Linked DNA regions of Oryza sativa Japonica Group. The protein of the gene in region 3 binds, or shares a complex with, the protein of the main gene of each other region. Links are inferred from orthologs where the notes say so. Each region holds a gene or a part of one and is shown on either strand. Other genes may lie near its edges.

Region 1 (5,203 bases), on a different chromosome or scaffold from region 3:
GTTGCCGGTTGTCATTACAATTGTTTGTTTGTTTTAGCATATATTCTATGCTGCACGACAGACAGGCATAAAGCCTAAAACAGCCGTGCTAACCTTGCATATGTAGATCCTTCATTACGAGGAGTGAAATCCAGCACAGATCAACACAGTTGGAGGCAAAAAGCAGTCTGGCTGATTGGCGTTTGTGGGAAATACAGTGATACCCCCTTACCAGGGAATTTACTAGATTAAGAAAAGAAGATGGTGGTGGACTAAATACAATACCCATTTACCCTCTCCATTGCATATAGTTCGTTCAGCCTTCGTCGGTAAGACCATCAAAATAGACAACGGTTACATAAATGGAGGTGACAAATAGCAAGTCAGTGATGTCTATTCCTTACGCTGTTACGCATCAGAAAATGGAGCCATCTTCAACTCTAAAAGTTGAGATGTCATTTGCATTATATTTTGCTGTTGTTTCCTCCAAGAGAAGCAGCACTTGAAAGCAGAACTAGCTTTAACAGCTCAGGGAAAGTAACATAAACACTGTACTCACCAGCAACCTAATAAATCCCAGAATGTAGAAACCCCATGCCTGCAGATAAGCTGCTTTTAAAAGCATAAAGTGATCTAAGCTTACTTGTGCCATCGCCAACATTCTTCAAGCTTGTTTGCTCCAGTTAATACACACGAGAAGCAAGTTCATAGAATGGGAAAACAAATGATACATTGTGCCTACTGCAGAAGCAAATGGTTTGATCTTTTCCGAGAGTAAAAGGGAAAAGATGTTCTAAGAAAAAAAAACATCAAGGCTGCATGCAGTAAAAATACCTGCTTGTGTGTATTTGTATTTCCCAGGATTTTTTAGTCTTCTAATGGTTGTACCAACCATTCGCACATTAAATTGCTCAACAGTAACTCAGATAATATGTCTAACAAAAATTACCAGAAGACATAATTTCTGCTGGAGCTCTATATTACTTATCCACTAAGTACATCAACAGAGCCCACATGTTTAGAAATGGATAACAAAGAAAAGACTGTCCGAACCACCCAAACCAATACATGTCAATACAAGATAAAAGTGTTATTTAAATAATTTGAGAAGATTATTTGGTTATTTTCTCCTTGGTTTAGCAAAATGCAACCAACATCATTATTGAGAAGCAAACAGCAAATGCATGCTTACACACAAAACAGTGAATGTATTGCCCAACTTGAAAATGAGAGTGCTATGAATACTGTTTGACAAAAACAAGAAGTTATTTTTGTTTGCTGCAAAAAAAAAGACTTGACAGAATAACTTATTTTTGTTCTTTACAAAAAAGAAGACTTCACAGCATTTTGTTTGATTTAGAAACAAATACTACAGACAATTCTGCCCATTGAAAATCGGAGAGAGATAGAAGATATCCCTTTCATCCTTTAGCACCTTGTTGTGAAATTCCAAGTAAGCAATATATAATGGCAGTGAACCAGCTTTTTCTTAAAACATGTTTTTGTAGATGAATTAGAACAACCAAACACCTTACCAAAGAGGAATAAGTCCACCTGCACTGGAATTTACCACATGTACTTACCCTTTTAATAGGCCCATAAGCTTCAAACTCCCGCTTGACCCTATGCTCAGACGTCTCATAGTTCTGTAAACGTTTGCTGGAGTCAATAGGAAGTAACATACAAAAATAATACCAACTATGTAGTTCAAAATAATTTGTGAATGATGCAACAAAAAAACTTACAAGTCTTGCAACAAAGAGTGTTTTGTATGGATCTCCAGTGGCATTGGGGTCACTCTGTGGGTCATCTACATTAAGAAACCACACCAATGATGTTATCAGTATCTATCATATGATACAAAGGGAAGAGCAGCTAAGAAAGAACTTACATTTCTGAAGCTCTTCAGCCACCTTAGCCGCACCTTGGTCAAGCTTACTTTTGCGGATCCTATCCTTCTTTTCAGCCTGCGTAAATAAAACATAATCACCAAGTCATGACCTGGAATGATGAAATGACAATAGGCACGAATAATACAGTAGATCTAGAAACAATAACAGACATGGAAAAAAAAAGAGTAAAGCCAGTAGTGCCAACAAAAAGCTGCGTATTTGACATAGTCACATACAATTACCAGAAGAAGAATTTTGGCAAACAAATGTTTGGACAGCTACACATGTCTTATTTTGAGAGAGTTTTCATGTGGTGAAAGTGGAAATATTCATCTCAGAGGTGGGAACATTTGACTCCAACTCTTACCTCGCAATTTCAGGTAGAACTTATTGGACCTAATTTTCCTGTGCTGACTATAGTGGAACAATGCTCAAACAGTCAAATTGTGAGTGACTTTCCAGCAGGTGTAGTCATAGAAGCTCACATACTAATACTAACAGTCTTAAGAAATCCTGATTGTTCAGAGACCAGCAAGCGTTCTGACACCATTACAAATAATTGATTTTGTCGATTGAAAAAAGCAACTATATGGTTGTGGAAACTATGCAATATGGTTATGGCCACACGAAAAGTATACCATTGGCATAAATACGACATGGTCACGACAACATAAGAAGTAGGAACATCTTGCACTACGGAGACATAAAACAAAATGCAACACTAACGATTGCGCTTCAAACGAGTTAAAATTGATACAGAAAACAAATTTGCAGCAGTATCAGTATACCTTGGTCTCGCATGTGGGGACGGGTGGCGCGTACTCAGGGTCACCGGGCTCCGCAAACTGCGACACGAACTGCGCCATCCCTGCAACCAACCAATCAACAACAAGAGTGAGTCCATCCATCAGGAAGCAACTCATCCACAAAATAAATCTAACAGACAAAATTAAAAGAAAAAAATATATTCATAATCCCCCTAGAACCGAACAGATAGAATAGAAGATGAGGCGGGTGAGGGAATATACCAGTGTAGGCCGGCAACTTGCGCTTCTCGACGGGCGGCTTGAAGTCGAGCGGCGGGCGGGGCTCGAAGAGCTTGAGCAGGTTGGGGGTGAGGCCCGTCGGGTGTCCCTGCCCCATCTGTGGTCGCGAGCCATGGAGAGAGATCTCAGATCGAGGCGGATCCGGAGAGGAGCTAGGGTTATAGCAGCTAGGGTTTAGGGGGGGGGTGGGGGCTTACCAGCTTGAGCTGCTGCACGTTGACGCGCTGGCCCTTGGTGCGGGACTGCATCCCGCCGCCGTCCGGGTTCCCCCGCATCATCCCGCTGCCGTAGTCGCCCATGGCCGCGGCGCCGGCGGTGGCGGCGGCGGCGCGAGGAGAGAGAGAGAGAGAGAAGCGAGAGGGATTTGCGATTCGCGAAGCGTTGGGGGATCTCTCTTTCTCTCTCTCGGGATATTAGGGGAGGAGAGAGAGAAGTAAAAAGAGGGGGAAGCCGAGACGGAAGAATTTTATGTGGGGCCCACACGTCAGCGCCCTCTCGCACGGGCCCATGCGTCGGTGACTTAGTGTATGCTTTTGCTGCCTGAGCGTTGCAGGGATCTTTGCTGCCGCTATTGAATCACGGGGGCTATAATCGTGTGTCACATTTTTTATAAATAGTAAAATGCCCGTGCTAACGCTACGGCGATATTTGATGATGCAAATCCCTTCTCTACTATTATAAAAATTGAAGATGTTTTCGTTAGAATTTTGGTACATCATCTGTATTGGAATAGGTTTTAATTTTATGTTTCTATTAAATCATACGCGTACGAAGTAATTAGGCATGCACCTTTTTACGTGCCCCTTGCCGCTTGCAGACCTGCGCCTGAGTTCATTTTCCACATACGCCTCTGTGCTCCTCTGCGATTGGGCCCGCAACACCCTCACGCGTGATTTTTCGCATGCCTGATTGGGCCCGTGACGTCCTCTTAAATCTACCCTATTAGCATATAAGCACTTTAAGGGAAAAAAAACGAGATTCCCACTTGATTTAATCTTTGGTAAAAAAAATACAAATTCCTACTTGATTTGATCTTATCAGGCCTTTATTTACCTGCATGATATCATCAGGCTTCCATTTACCTATATCTTCTTCAAGTTTATTGGACAACCTGATTGCAATTAAACGGCATATATTTTAGTTGTGGTAATTAAGAATTAACATTTAGTTACCAAACGTCCATCATTGATATTATTTGGATGCAAATCGACGCACATACCTCATGAGCACATGGGAATGAGGATATGAAGAGGAGCGCTGCTATAGACCTAGGGATGAAATGCTCCAATAACAAATGGTATAAGCACAGCAGAGCCATAATATATAGAACTGGCCATCGTTCCATTTTACTGCCTAACGATAGGTTGAAGGCTAGCAAGCCAAGGAAGGCTATATACCTCTCAGTTCTGACAACTACCTTTTCATGAACTCGTGGGCTTTTTTAAGCTAAACCTCAGAAGACAATAGGGAAAGCCTGTTTTTCATCTAAGAATAAAAGACTTGGCCTATTATTTTAGAAAAATTGGACCAAAAAACTCACAAACACTTGCCCATGAACCTGTCGGCTAAATATTGTAGTGTAAACTTATCTGCTGCAAGCAGCTTTGGAGTAAATCTACCCTATCCTAAACCTTTCTTACATGCATATTGTTAGTTTGTACCAAGCACAAGAAAATAAATCACTCACTTTAAAACCATCTCAAAATTACATATATGCCCACTTTCATCCATTAAAGGCATAGCTGCAACTTATAAATCTGAACTGTACATATATGTGTCAACCATGAGTTTACAATCGAAAGGGGAAAGAATGGAAAAACAGTTAGAAGAGATTATGCCCCAGCCTTGCTTCCATTGGCTCTGCACTGATCGAATAATCGCATCCTACCTTGCCATTCTGCACTGATTTCTCTTGACAACTGCACTTCATTTAGCAAAACCATGAAATGGAGCATGTTCCTGTCAGCCTGCTAAATAGAAACAACCAGCTTCTTTTGTTAATGAGTGGCTTCCAAGCTTAACTTGTTTTGCTAAACTTTTGAAGCAAATCATGCTAGCTTATGGTACACCACAAATTGATATACCAGATCAGTGATGATCAATAATGCTATTTGCTTTTTAAACAGATAAATATGACCATAAGTAACAGAGAAATGCAGTTGTTTTATATTTCTTTTTTCCCCACAAATTTGTTGCTTGGTAATCACTATTAATTGGAAGCACCGTATAACTCAAAAGCAGAGGTCATCTCTCTTGAAGCAGCTCCTCTTAATGGCGAAAAACTAT
Region 2 (4,811 bases), on a different chromosome or scaffold from region 3:
TTATTCTTTTGAAAAACCTTCTAATTTATTATTATTTACTAAACTGATAGTAATTCACCATTGTCGATCTGTACATTGGGGATGGAACTCTGGCCAAAATTGACAAGATTTTGAATGAAAACATAATACTTCCTATGGTAGCTGGTAATGCTTTCTTTCAACTATAATATACCATTTACTAAATTGAACGGAAAATGAGGACAGATAGCATCTTGAACAACTTTCCTGGTACAAGTACCATGGTGAAAATGCTTTTCTTTTCCAAATAAAACTGAAAGTGAAACATGATTCCACATACCACCATCTTGTTGCACAGCACAAGATCCTTCAGAAAATGAAGCGCTTAAAAACAAGATGCTTGCTTTCTGTGTCAAATGCTTCAAGATTGGAAATCGTCAGCCCATCAAGCAAAATCAGTCGATGTCTCTGCCATTTCTCAGGCAGCCAGGCAGTTGATTCAAAAGGCCCCACTTGGACATGCTCTAAAAGGAAATGGCATCGCATCCAACCTGTACAGAAAGGAAATGTACGAGGAAGGATGATTATTTTGCTTGCCAAATGCCTGGAGTATTCTACTCTATGGTTTCTACCTGTATTTCATTCATCAAGTAGTATCACAGACTTCTCTGTATCTATACTACCTTAGAAATTGGCGCTACCAACTTGCTGCTAATATGCTCTTATTGCTTCAGGTAGGGGCTAATTGTTTGCCTCTACTATGCTTGTTTATCCATCTACATACCAAATATCAGAAACATACTCATAGCTCGACCACATACTTTAATGATATATCATTCCAATGACATGAAAAGCACTTGCACTACACCTGAACTTACTGCTAGAAGCAGCTACAGTATAAAACACCTCTATCACTGCATAGAAGTTTGAGGATTGTCATCTGTTACAATCAATATTAATGGAATAATACGCAACAGCACCTTAACTGCAAGGTGAGCTAGAGCACACCACAGAGAAACAACCAAAGATAGAACATTTCAGATTCAGGTAAAGCACAATCCAGCATAAATACTACTGTCAACCACAAACATATGATTCTGTAGAATAAAGGTACAACTAGATAGTTTGTTGTCCATAAGTAGTGAAGCTACTCTAGCTTTAAACTAGAGACGAAGCAACTGAAATTCCACTCATGACAAAGCACACCGACAGATAAGGCTAAACTTAAATAAAGCATTACGCAAGATACAGCTACTCCATAGTATAGCTAGAAGCTAGTTATTGACTACATTCTAGTAGTAAGCCGCAAAAGGTTCAAGCATTCCAACCCGGAGAAATACTGATTTAACCAGCAAATGGGAGATCTTCAAGAGGCCAAAAGCAATCAGAGGGGCCAGGGTAACACAACATACATAGACTGCCCAATTTTGCTGGTTCATCTCATAGATGCTCTAATGGCCTCATTTACTGAGCAACCCTAGGTTGCACACCACCATAACCACTGCCATAATTTGATTGGCCTTCAGACACTCCATTGACTGAAGCCCCAAACCCTCCACCTTGTGAAGGATCAGCCCAAGCATTTGGATAACCAGAACCGCCATTCCCGCTTCCATAGCCAGCACCATACCCAGATCCACCGCCAGCAGCTGGATTGCCAGCACCATCTCCCCTTCCTCCATAACCCCCATATCCACCATGATTACCATACGATGCATCTCCTCCATATCCACCATATCCATAGCCCTGGCTCCCATAGCCTGTGCCTGCACCAGCGGCCTGACTAGTGGGTGCATTACCTCCAGCAGAAGAGTTGTTCCAAGCAGCATAGCCTGCATTGCCACCATAACTCCCAGTGCCATAACCAGACGGAGCTTGACCACCCCATGGTCCTCTGTTTGCTCCTGGAGGACCACCCTGGTAACCTGAACCAGGCGCATTTGGATTGCCATAATGCCCACCATACCCAGCAGGAACACCTCCAAATCCTCCAGCCCCATAATTCCCATACGCAGTTCCAGGGTTAGCATGCCCATATCCATAACCAACCGTACCAGCACCATATCCTCCAGCACCATAACCGGGATAACCACCACTACCCTGCTGCGCCTGACCATACCTGCTAGCGTCACCTCTGCTATCATAGCCCCCAGAATTGGAGTTCGGCCCATTGTTACTCTGGTAACCCCCACCGCCGCCTCCCATGGAACGGCCACCACTGCCGGAGCCAGGGTTGGCCTCCCTGGGCAGGGCGCGCTTCACCTCCACCATCTTCCCGCTCAGGTCATGGAAGGTCTTGTGCAGCACGCGGTCAACGGCGTCCTCCGCGTCGAAGGTGATGAACCCGAACCCCCTCGGCCGCTGCGTGTTCTGGTCGTACATGACGACGACGTCGGTGACGACCCCGTAGGTCTGGAAGTACTGCCGGAACTCGTCCTCCGTCAGGTTGGAGGGCAGCCCGCCGACGAAGATCTTCTTCGTCCGCGCACCGCCGGCGTCACCACCGCCGCCACCACCACCACCACCGGCGCCTCCCCCACCACCGCCCCCACCGGAGGCGTGCCTCCCCCCCGCGCTAGGGTTCGCCGCCTTCGCGGCCTGCTGCTCCTCCCGCGAGAGCGCCCGCTTCACATCAACCTACGAAACCGAACCGAACCGAACCTTGAGAGGAGGGAATCCAACGCGAATATTCGCTAGGGTTTGAGAGGGGATACCGTGCGGCCGTCGAGGGTGTGGGGGTCGACGAGGGCGGCGTCGACGGAGGAAGGGTCGGAGAAGACGACGAAGCCGAAGCCGCGGGGGCGGCCGGTGAGCTTGTCGCGCATGACGGCGGCCTGGGAGACGTCGCCGTAGGCGGCGAAGTGGTCGCGGAGCTTCTCCTCGGTGGTCTCCCACGAGATGCCGCCGATGAACAGCTTCCCCTGATCCGACTCCATCTCCTCCCTCCGCCGCTGCTCTCACCTTCTCTCCTTCCTCTCGCTCGCGCGCCTCGGATTCTCTCGCGACGCGAGGAGGAGGAGGAGGCGGGGGTGGAATTTGGGGGATTTCGGCGTCGGGGAGGGGAGGTGGGGGGCGGAGATTTGGAGGGTTTGGGGATATTTTAGGGCGCGTCGTGTGGGGGGTGGGGACGTGGGGGAGACGGGTTATTTTTGTTCTTCTCTGTGGGCTTCTTTTTTGGGGTTTTTTTTTTTTGTTCTTTCTATGGGCCGAATTTGGTGCGAGCTTGTAGGAACTCGAATTTTTTTTATTTTTAATTTTTTTTATTAAAAGTTTTACAAAAAATAATTTTTCATTTTGAAAATTGACAGAAGTGGTCGCCTACCGCCCTCTGGGAGGGCGATTTTTAAAAATCGCCATCCCAGAGGGCGGCGAAAGTGACGTGGCAGACGGCCGTTCGCTCTCGGGCGACGGCCGTCAACGAAATTTGTAGGCGGCCCCCTTGCCGCCCTCCGCTAGGGCGATTTTGTACTGTGCGGGGGGCCGCCTGCAAATGGGCGGCGGGGGGCCTGGAATTTTGCAGGCGGCCCCCTTGCCGCCCTGGGGGAGGGCGAATTTATACTGTGCTTTATATTTTTTATAAATATCAATAGTTATCAAATCTTTTTATATTGAAAACTATACAAGATTAAAATCTCCAAGACTGGTAAAATACAATTTTATTATTTTTTAGGGCCTATTTGGAATGTTACCGTACAAATATTTTGTTAGTGCCAAAATATAAGCAAGTTTTGGCACTACCAAATATTTGGTAAGGTAAAATTGCATTTGATCATATTTGGTTTGCTGCCAAAATGTAAAATTGTAGTGAAGAATGTTCTACATAATCTCAAATCTAGATTACGTATTACCAATGAATAGGCTTCAATCGAAATCAAACACAAGTACTATTCAAATTACCAAAATATTGGTAGGGCATGTTTTTGGTAGCAATCCAAATAGGCCCTTAGTCTTACGCATACAAAAAATCACCACCATAATTAAACATTGTAATGATAAGATAGATAAGAAGTGCCATCGATACACGGTACAAATTTGTCGATCCCGACGAATCAAGCATGCGGTAACCTATCGGCACCTTCTAGGTCGGTCAGAATGCATTGCATTCTCGTGGTCCTTCAATCGTTGATACTCTACTTGTGTTTCTGACTATGTTATCTTCTGGCCATGATATGATGGAGTGACATTGTCGATCCATCGAGTAAATCCACCCATCCTTGGATTGCCCTGTAAAAATAGTAATGTTATTCAGTTTGGGTAGTAATTTTGTGCAAATCATAGCGGATTTTGTAAATGGTTAGACATACAACGAAATCGTTGTCTACATTGGGGCAGACAAAATATCTCCTTCGAAATGTTTGTTCAGCAAAGGATGTAGCCACCTGCCAGCGATCTCTGCACCCACACTTTGGACGCTCGGACCATTTAGGTAACCCTAATGGATTGGTCCTCCAGTCTAAGCTTGCAATTTCCACCCAACGTTCGTACTCCATCCAAACATGAATGAACTGTATGGTCGGTTCAGGTTGCGTTATCAGCCCGCCACTTGAAGTAACTCTGACTGTGTCAATCCATTGTACGAATTGACATTTCCTTACATCCTCCTATGTACATCCATTATGGGATAGTTAAGTTAATGATAGTACTGAGGAGTGATGAAAAGAATAGTTGTAATTACCACGAAATCATCGTCGACAATGTTTGGACACACGAAACACCTTTGTCCTCGAGTTCGGTGCCTTACGGACCTTATGACCTGACAACGGTCACCACAACGACACTCCGGACGCTCACGCCACGTGGGGAGTCCTAGGGGATTTACGTGCCATTCTAAAGCCTCAGCAGCAATTCGACGT
Region 3 (5,113 bases):
CTCCCCCGTTTGCCACGTCAGCTTGCCGCCCTAGTGGAGGGCGGCAGGGGTCTATTTTTGTAATTTTTTGCGCCGATGGATTATTTCTGTAAATATTAAAAGAAAAAAATTAAAAATGAAAAAAATTCGTCAGAGACCGAGGTTCTCTTTGTCACTGGGAAGAGTAGCATCAGGATCTTGGGCTCAGATATGAGCAAGGAAGAAAGTGAGGTGCTTTTTGTAGCCGAACAGGGGTGCCGATGGAACCTCAAGGTTGCTCGGCTGCTTCGTTTGGGCCTAGGCATTAAGCAGGCCGGAGTTATCAGCCAGCGTAATTTGCTCAGCCCGTCAGAAAATTACGGTTTTCAGCTTTGAGAAAATTCCATCCATGCCATGAAGATTTTGGCCAAAATCAAAGAACACCAAAATCCTGTTATTTGCGCTTCACACAAGAAAACGTGCTAATGAAAACTTTCCTCTTCACTGTGTTCCTAATTTCCTATAGCTGAATCTGCATACCTGAAGAAAAACACAACACTATGGCTGAATCTACATAACTAAAGGAAAAGACAAAACAAACTGAAAGTGTGTATCTGTTCAGATTCTAATACTAAGATATATCATATCATGTATTAAGTTTATTTATTTTAGGATGGATAGTGTTTTAAAATTATGCCATGATCTTACCAGTAATAATCACAAAAGAGAAGTTATTTAATCCGAAAGTTGGTACTACAGAAACCACATCAACTGCAAGCAAAGGGAATGCTCCGGCAAAGTCTTGCAACAGAAAATGCTTACCGACAAAAAATTTTCGAAGAATTCACTATTTGCACAAAACATGAATATCCCCAAAACAACATACCGATATTGGCAATACCCAGAAATCCATCCAGCCAACAATCATGGTAGCATGAAATAATTAGAACTTGTGAAAAAACAGAACACGGAATTTATATGTATCCCGTGTCTCAGTATTTCAGCCAGATAGGCAGATACATCTTAAAGACTTGGTACAGTACCAGAAAATGTAAGGTCAGCCAGACACATCGAGACTTCATAAAGCACCACAAAATATAAGGGATATGGAATGATGATAAGTTAAGCTTACAGATCCATCCACAAATAGATAAACAACAAGCATAATCACAGGATCTAAACAGGTACACTCCTTAAGATGCCCCTTGGAAGTAGACGTTGCATTAAGACAACTCAGACATCAAGTCCTCTCATCAAGAAGTTGATATTCTCAACAGAATACCCTCCAGATAACATTTGGAATGCATGGAGAAACTTCTGAACAAAACATGCAGATCTAATACCTCAACGACCTCTTTCAAAGTTAATGCGGGACCTCCCAGATCCTCCACCCTCGTAATCATCTCTCATTGAGGATCCACCACTTGCCCTCATGGCTCCTCCGCTTCCAATCTTCTCAACAGCTTTCTTCCCCTTCTTCACTTCAGTCAAGAACTGATCAAGACCGAAGGGATCATTCTCCTCCTGTTTATCAAACTCCACAGGTCTGTCTCTCTTTCCAGACCTCTCTGAAGCACCAGAAAATCCTTTGTCTGGTTTGAACCTATCTGTCTTCATAACCTTCTCCAGTTGTTCATCTGCATCGCCATACACATCAGAATCACCGTCCTTCTTAGGCCTGTAAAGTGTGGATAGCGTTGGCTGCGCTGTGAAGAGACCCTTGGAGTAGATGTTATACTGATCATCTGTAGCAAACCCAGAGTCCATTCCTTTATCCTGGTTGAACAACCTCTGGTCATACATGACTTCCCCACCTTTAGCACCGCCAGTGCTTGCCATGCCCAGGGCAATCTTCTCACTGACATCACGATCCCTGTCTCTAGTGAGCTTACTCTTCTTGCCCATTGCAGCATCCCTGGCCTCCAGCCTCCTCTCTCTCTCCCTCTCACGTCTCCTCTCCTCACGAATCCTGTCACGCTCAATCCTTGCTTCCCTTTCTTCTCTACTCTCCCTTCGTTGCTCACGAGGCTGCTCCAAATCCATATCTTCCTCCCTGTCATCAACAGCACCTCTACCACCACCAGCAGGAACCCCTGTAGGTGCAGGTGGGGCACCAGTCCTCTCCATGCGCGCCTTCTGTGCAAGTGCCCTTAGCTCTTGCTCCTTCCTCTCCTTCTCCTTCAGCTGCAGCTCCCTCTGCACCTTGGATCGCATCTGTACTGCCTCCCTGGCCTTCTGCTCCGCCACATACAGTGCTTCAGAGAGCTTTGCAAAGTTATCATTAATTTGAACCTCCTGCAGCCCCCTTCCATCAGCTGCCAACCTCTTGTCGAGTGGTATGGTGTAACCCTTTGGATTTTTCCAATTTGAAATGCATGGTGGAATCTTCCAATCTTGCTGGTCCTTCACTGTCACTGGCCGTGGTGGCGAGTGCATCACTGGGACAGGCGGTGATCCAGAAGCGCGGGGCACTCGCTTATGCTTGAATTTCGGTGGCTCAAGAGGATCCTGAGCCATCTCTGACATCCTAATAATCCTCTCCTTGGCACCTGAATTGAAGGCTGCCGATTGCTGCGATGGCTTATACTTGATAAACTTTGACTCTGAATCATGCGTCGGCACATTCTTGGGCTGTGCGGCGGAGAGCCGAACATTGACAACCTTCTCCAAGGCAGCTTTAGTTCGTTCAGTGGTTTCTTCGATCTGTTTCTGGTACTCCTCGTCGTCCGCGGTTGCCTCGGAATCAGCCGTGGCAATCTTGGGCACGAGGTCGCTGTGCTTTGAGTAAACGATCTTAGAGGCGTTCTCACCCTGCTTCACGACGGCGTCGAAGGCGACGCTGCCCTTGGCGTCGACGGTGAGCGCGAGGATCTTCGAGCCGCCCTTCTCGTCGCGCCGGCCCATGCCGAGCGGGTACTGCGCGACGTGGATCTCCGGGAAGGCGCCGCCGTCCCCGAAGTCCTCCGGCCGCCGCGGCACGAACCCGCCACGCTTCCCGTACGGCGGCACGGGCTTGGCGGGGCCCGAAGGCTTCGCCGCCGCCGCCGCCGCGTCGGATTGCGCCGACTCCCCGCCATACCGCTCCTTGAACCACGGGTCGCTGCTGTGGTCGTAGAACGTCGACGCCGCCGCCTTGGGCGTCGGGAGGAGCTCCTTGAGGGACGCCATGGCTAGCACGGCGGCAAGCCGCGCGGGATCTAGGGCTAGGGTTCCGGCGAGTCGCTGGGTGGGGGATCGGGAATCGAAGAGGAAAAGCTAGGGTTTGGTTCGATTCGTGTAATTATTTGGGCAACGCGATAAGAGAAGCTGACCACGGTGGCCGGTGGGGTTATGGCGGCTACCGGATGGGCTAGGCCCGATAAGAATTTGGGCTGGGCCGATAAATATGCACCAAATCCTTAGCCAATCCGAAGCAAATACCATCGTGTCTGAGACTTCTAGTCCGAAACAAAATAATTCCTTGGGCTGGAAACTATTAATACTGGTGATGATGATAACTGGGTTGAATCCTGAGAGGATAGGAAAGAGGGGATTGAGAAGATACGCAAAATAAGGTGAGGTGAGCCATTAGTGTATTATTAATTGAGTATTAACTATTGTAAGTTTTAAAAATAGATTAATATGATTTTTTAAAACAACTTTTCAAAAGAATTTTTTTTTGCCAAAAACGCATCGTTTAGTAGTTTGGGAAGTGTGCGCGTAGAAAAGTAGATGTTTTCTCCTCAATCTCCCAGCAATCTCTCCTGCTCGAACGGAGCCATGCTTGTCTGCACGGGTAATGGCTACTCCCTCCGTCTCATAAAAAACCAACATAGTACTTCCTAGTACAATAAATCTGGACATACATATGTCCAGATTCGTTCTACTAGGATATGTCACATTCTATATTTTAGATTTATTTTTTTTTGGACGGAGTGAGTAACGAGTAACGAGGCTACGGTATTAACGGCTCGGAATGTTTGCCTGTTTGTTTAACGAGAATAAATGAGACTGACAAGTGGGCCCATTAATTTCGCTTGCTAACACGAGTTTAATCTGCCAATTTGGGCTCCACATGACACACATTGTCACCACCCAGCCAGGCCCACGCGCGTGGTCGGTGAAAATGCTAGGCCTACTTACTGTGCCAGCCCAAATTATCCTACTAAGTACAACGTAAGGAAGCGGGCTGGAGACCGGACGGAATGGTATACCTGCAGTACTGGGCCTTCTCAAAGGCCGTGTTACCAGCCGACAAAATTTTTGGTCCACTAGAAAATGTTACCCCAAATGTTAATGTATTATCCCAGGAAAAAGAGAAAGTGCCTATGTAATGTGTCAGTTCTATGGTTGGCTAGCGAATGAAAATCTGCCGTACTAAAATAAATAGAAAATATTTTATGGACTTGGAAAAAATGGTGGCGTGGAAGTACCCAGACAACTCGATCTAAATGGGCAGCACATACTACTCCACATGTACTACGGACACTATCAATTTGTTTGTATTTTAACAGGCCAAAATCTTCTAGAATACGAATTATGCTACAGTTAAATTGCATGGTACAGGACTACAGTTACAGGGAGTATAATTGTACCAGAAAAAGAAGAATGAAAATGAAAGTAGATCCATCCAAAGAATGCGAAACCACACCACACACACAGGTGGTACTCAGAGAAAAGGAGCGAGCAAAAGAGAAAGCGCCACATGTCACCCTCCAAAAGCACAAACAAAAAATCAGGGTGTGTGAAAAAAGAGAAGAAAAAGAAAAAGAAAAGAAAAATTCGGACAGCATCAGCACAAGTAGTAGTAGTGCACAGCTCACTCGCACAGTCTCACTGAGCCACTAGCCCACCACCACCCTCATCCTCCTCCCAGCTCACAAAAACCTCAAACCCCCAGCCTTCTCGGGCCTCCACAGAAAGCCGAGGAAGAGAAAAAAAAAATGGAGCTCTTCGTCTCCACCGTCGCCTCCGCGCGCGCCACCGCCCCCTTATGCTTCGCCTCCTCCTTCCACCACCGCCGCGCTGCTCCTCCCGCCGTCGCCGCCGCCGCCACCCTCCGCCGCAGCAACCGCCACCTCCCGACTCGAGGTGCCCGAACGCGCCACGATTTTTTTTGATTGATTGATTGATTATCTTTCTGACGGTTTTGCTGTTGGTGATGGTTGTCGCCAGG

What was found. Proteins that work in one complex are often made in the same cells at the same time.
Region 1: SNW/SKI-interacting protein A-like (region 3) and U1 small nuclear ribonucleoprotein 70 kDa share a complex: the UniProt entries of both Arabidopsis thaliana proteins name them as parts of the spliceosome. The link is inferred for Oryza sativa Japonica Group from reciprocal best matches to the Arabidopsis thaliana genes SKIP and U1-70K.
Region 2: SNW/SKI-interacting protein A-like (region 3) and heterogeneous nuclear ribonucleoprotein 1 share a complex: the UniProt entries of both Arabidopsis thaliana proteins name them as parts of the spliceosome. The link is inferred for Oryza sativa Japonica Group from reciprocal best matches to the Arabidopsis thaliana genes SKIP and AT4G14300.

What each region holds. Positions count from the first base shown.
Region 1 is NC_089044.1:1,015,179-1,020,381, forward strand, and holds the start of U1 small nuclear ribonucleoprotein 70 kDa, read right to left. Parts: upstream 3,301-5,203; 5' UTR 3,217-3,300; coding exon 3,115-3,216; intron 3,015-3,114; coding exon 2,900-3,014; intron 2,740-2,899; coding exon 2,660-2,739; intron 1,947-2,659; coding exon 1,871-1,946; intron 1,790-1,870; coding exon 1,725-1,789; intron 1,626-1,724; coding exon 1,563-1,625; intron 1-1,562. UniProt on the Arabidopsis thaliana protein: Mediates the splicing of pre-mRNA by binding to the loop I region of U1-snRNA.
Region 2 is NC_089044.1:18,095,760-18,100,570, reverse strand, and holds heterogeneous nuclear ribonucleoprotein 1, read right to left. Parts: upstream 3,010-4,811; 5' UTR 2,895-3,009; coding exon 2,673-2,894; intron 2,596-2,672; coding exon 1,423-2,595; 3' UTR 1,001-1,422; downstream 1-1,000. UniProt on the Arabidopsis thaliana protein: Involved with pre-mRNA processing. Forms complexes (ribonucleosomes) with at least 20 other different hnRNP and heterogeneous nuclear RNA in the nucleus.
Region 3 is NC_089036.1:32,489,771-32,494,883, forward strand, and holds SNW/SKI-interacting protein A-like, read right to left. Parts: upstream 3,228-5,113; 5' UTR 3,127-3,227; coding exon 1,303-3,126; 3' UTR 871-1,302; downstream 1-870. Other genes in the region: protein CURVATURE THYLAKOID 1D, chloroplastic, read left to right, coding at 4,881-5,028, 5,113-5,113. UniProt on the Arabidopsis thaliana protein: Splicing factor involved in post-transcriptional regulation of circadian clock and flowering time genes. Associates with the pre-mRNA of PRR7, PRR9, ELF3 and GI, and is necessary for the regulation of their alternative splicing and mRNA maturation.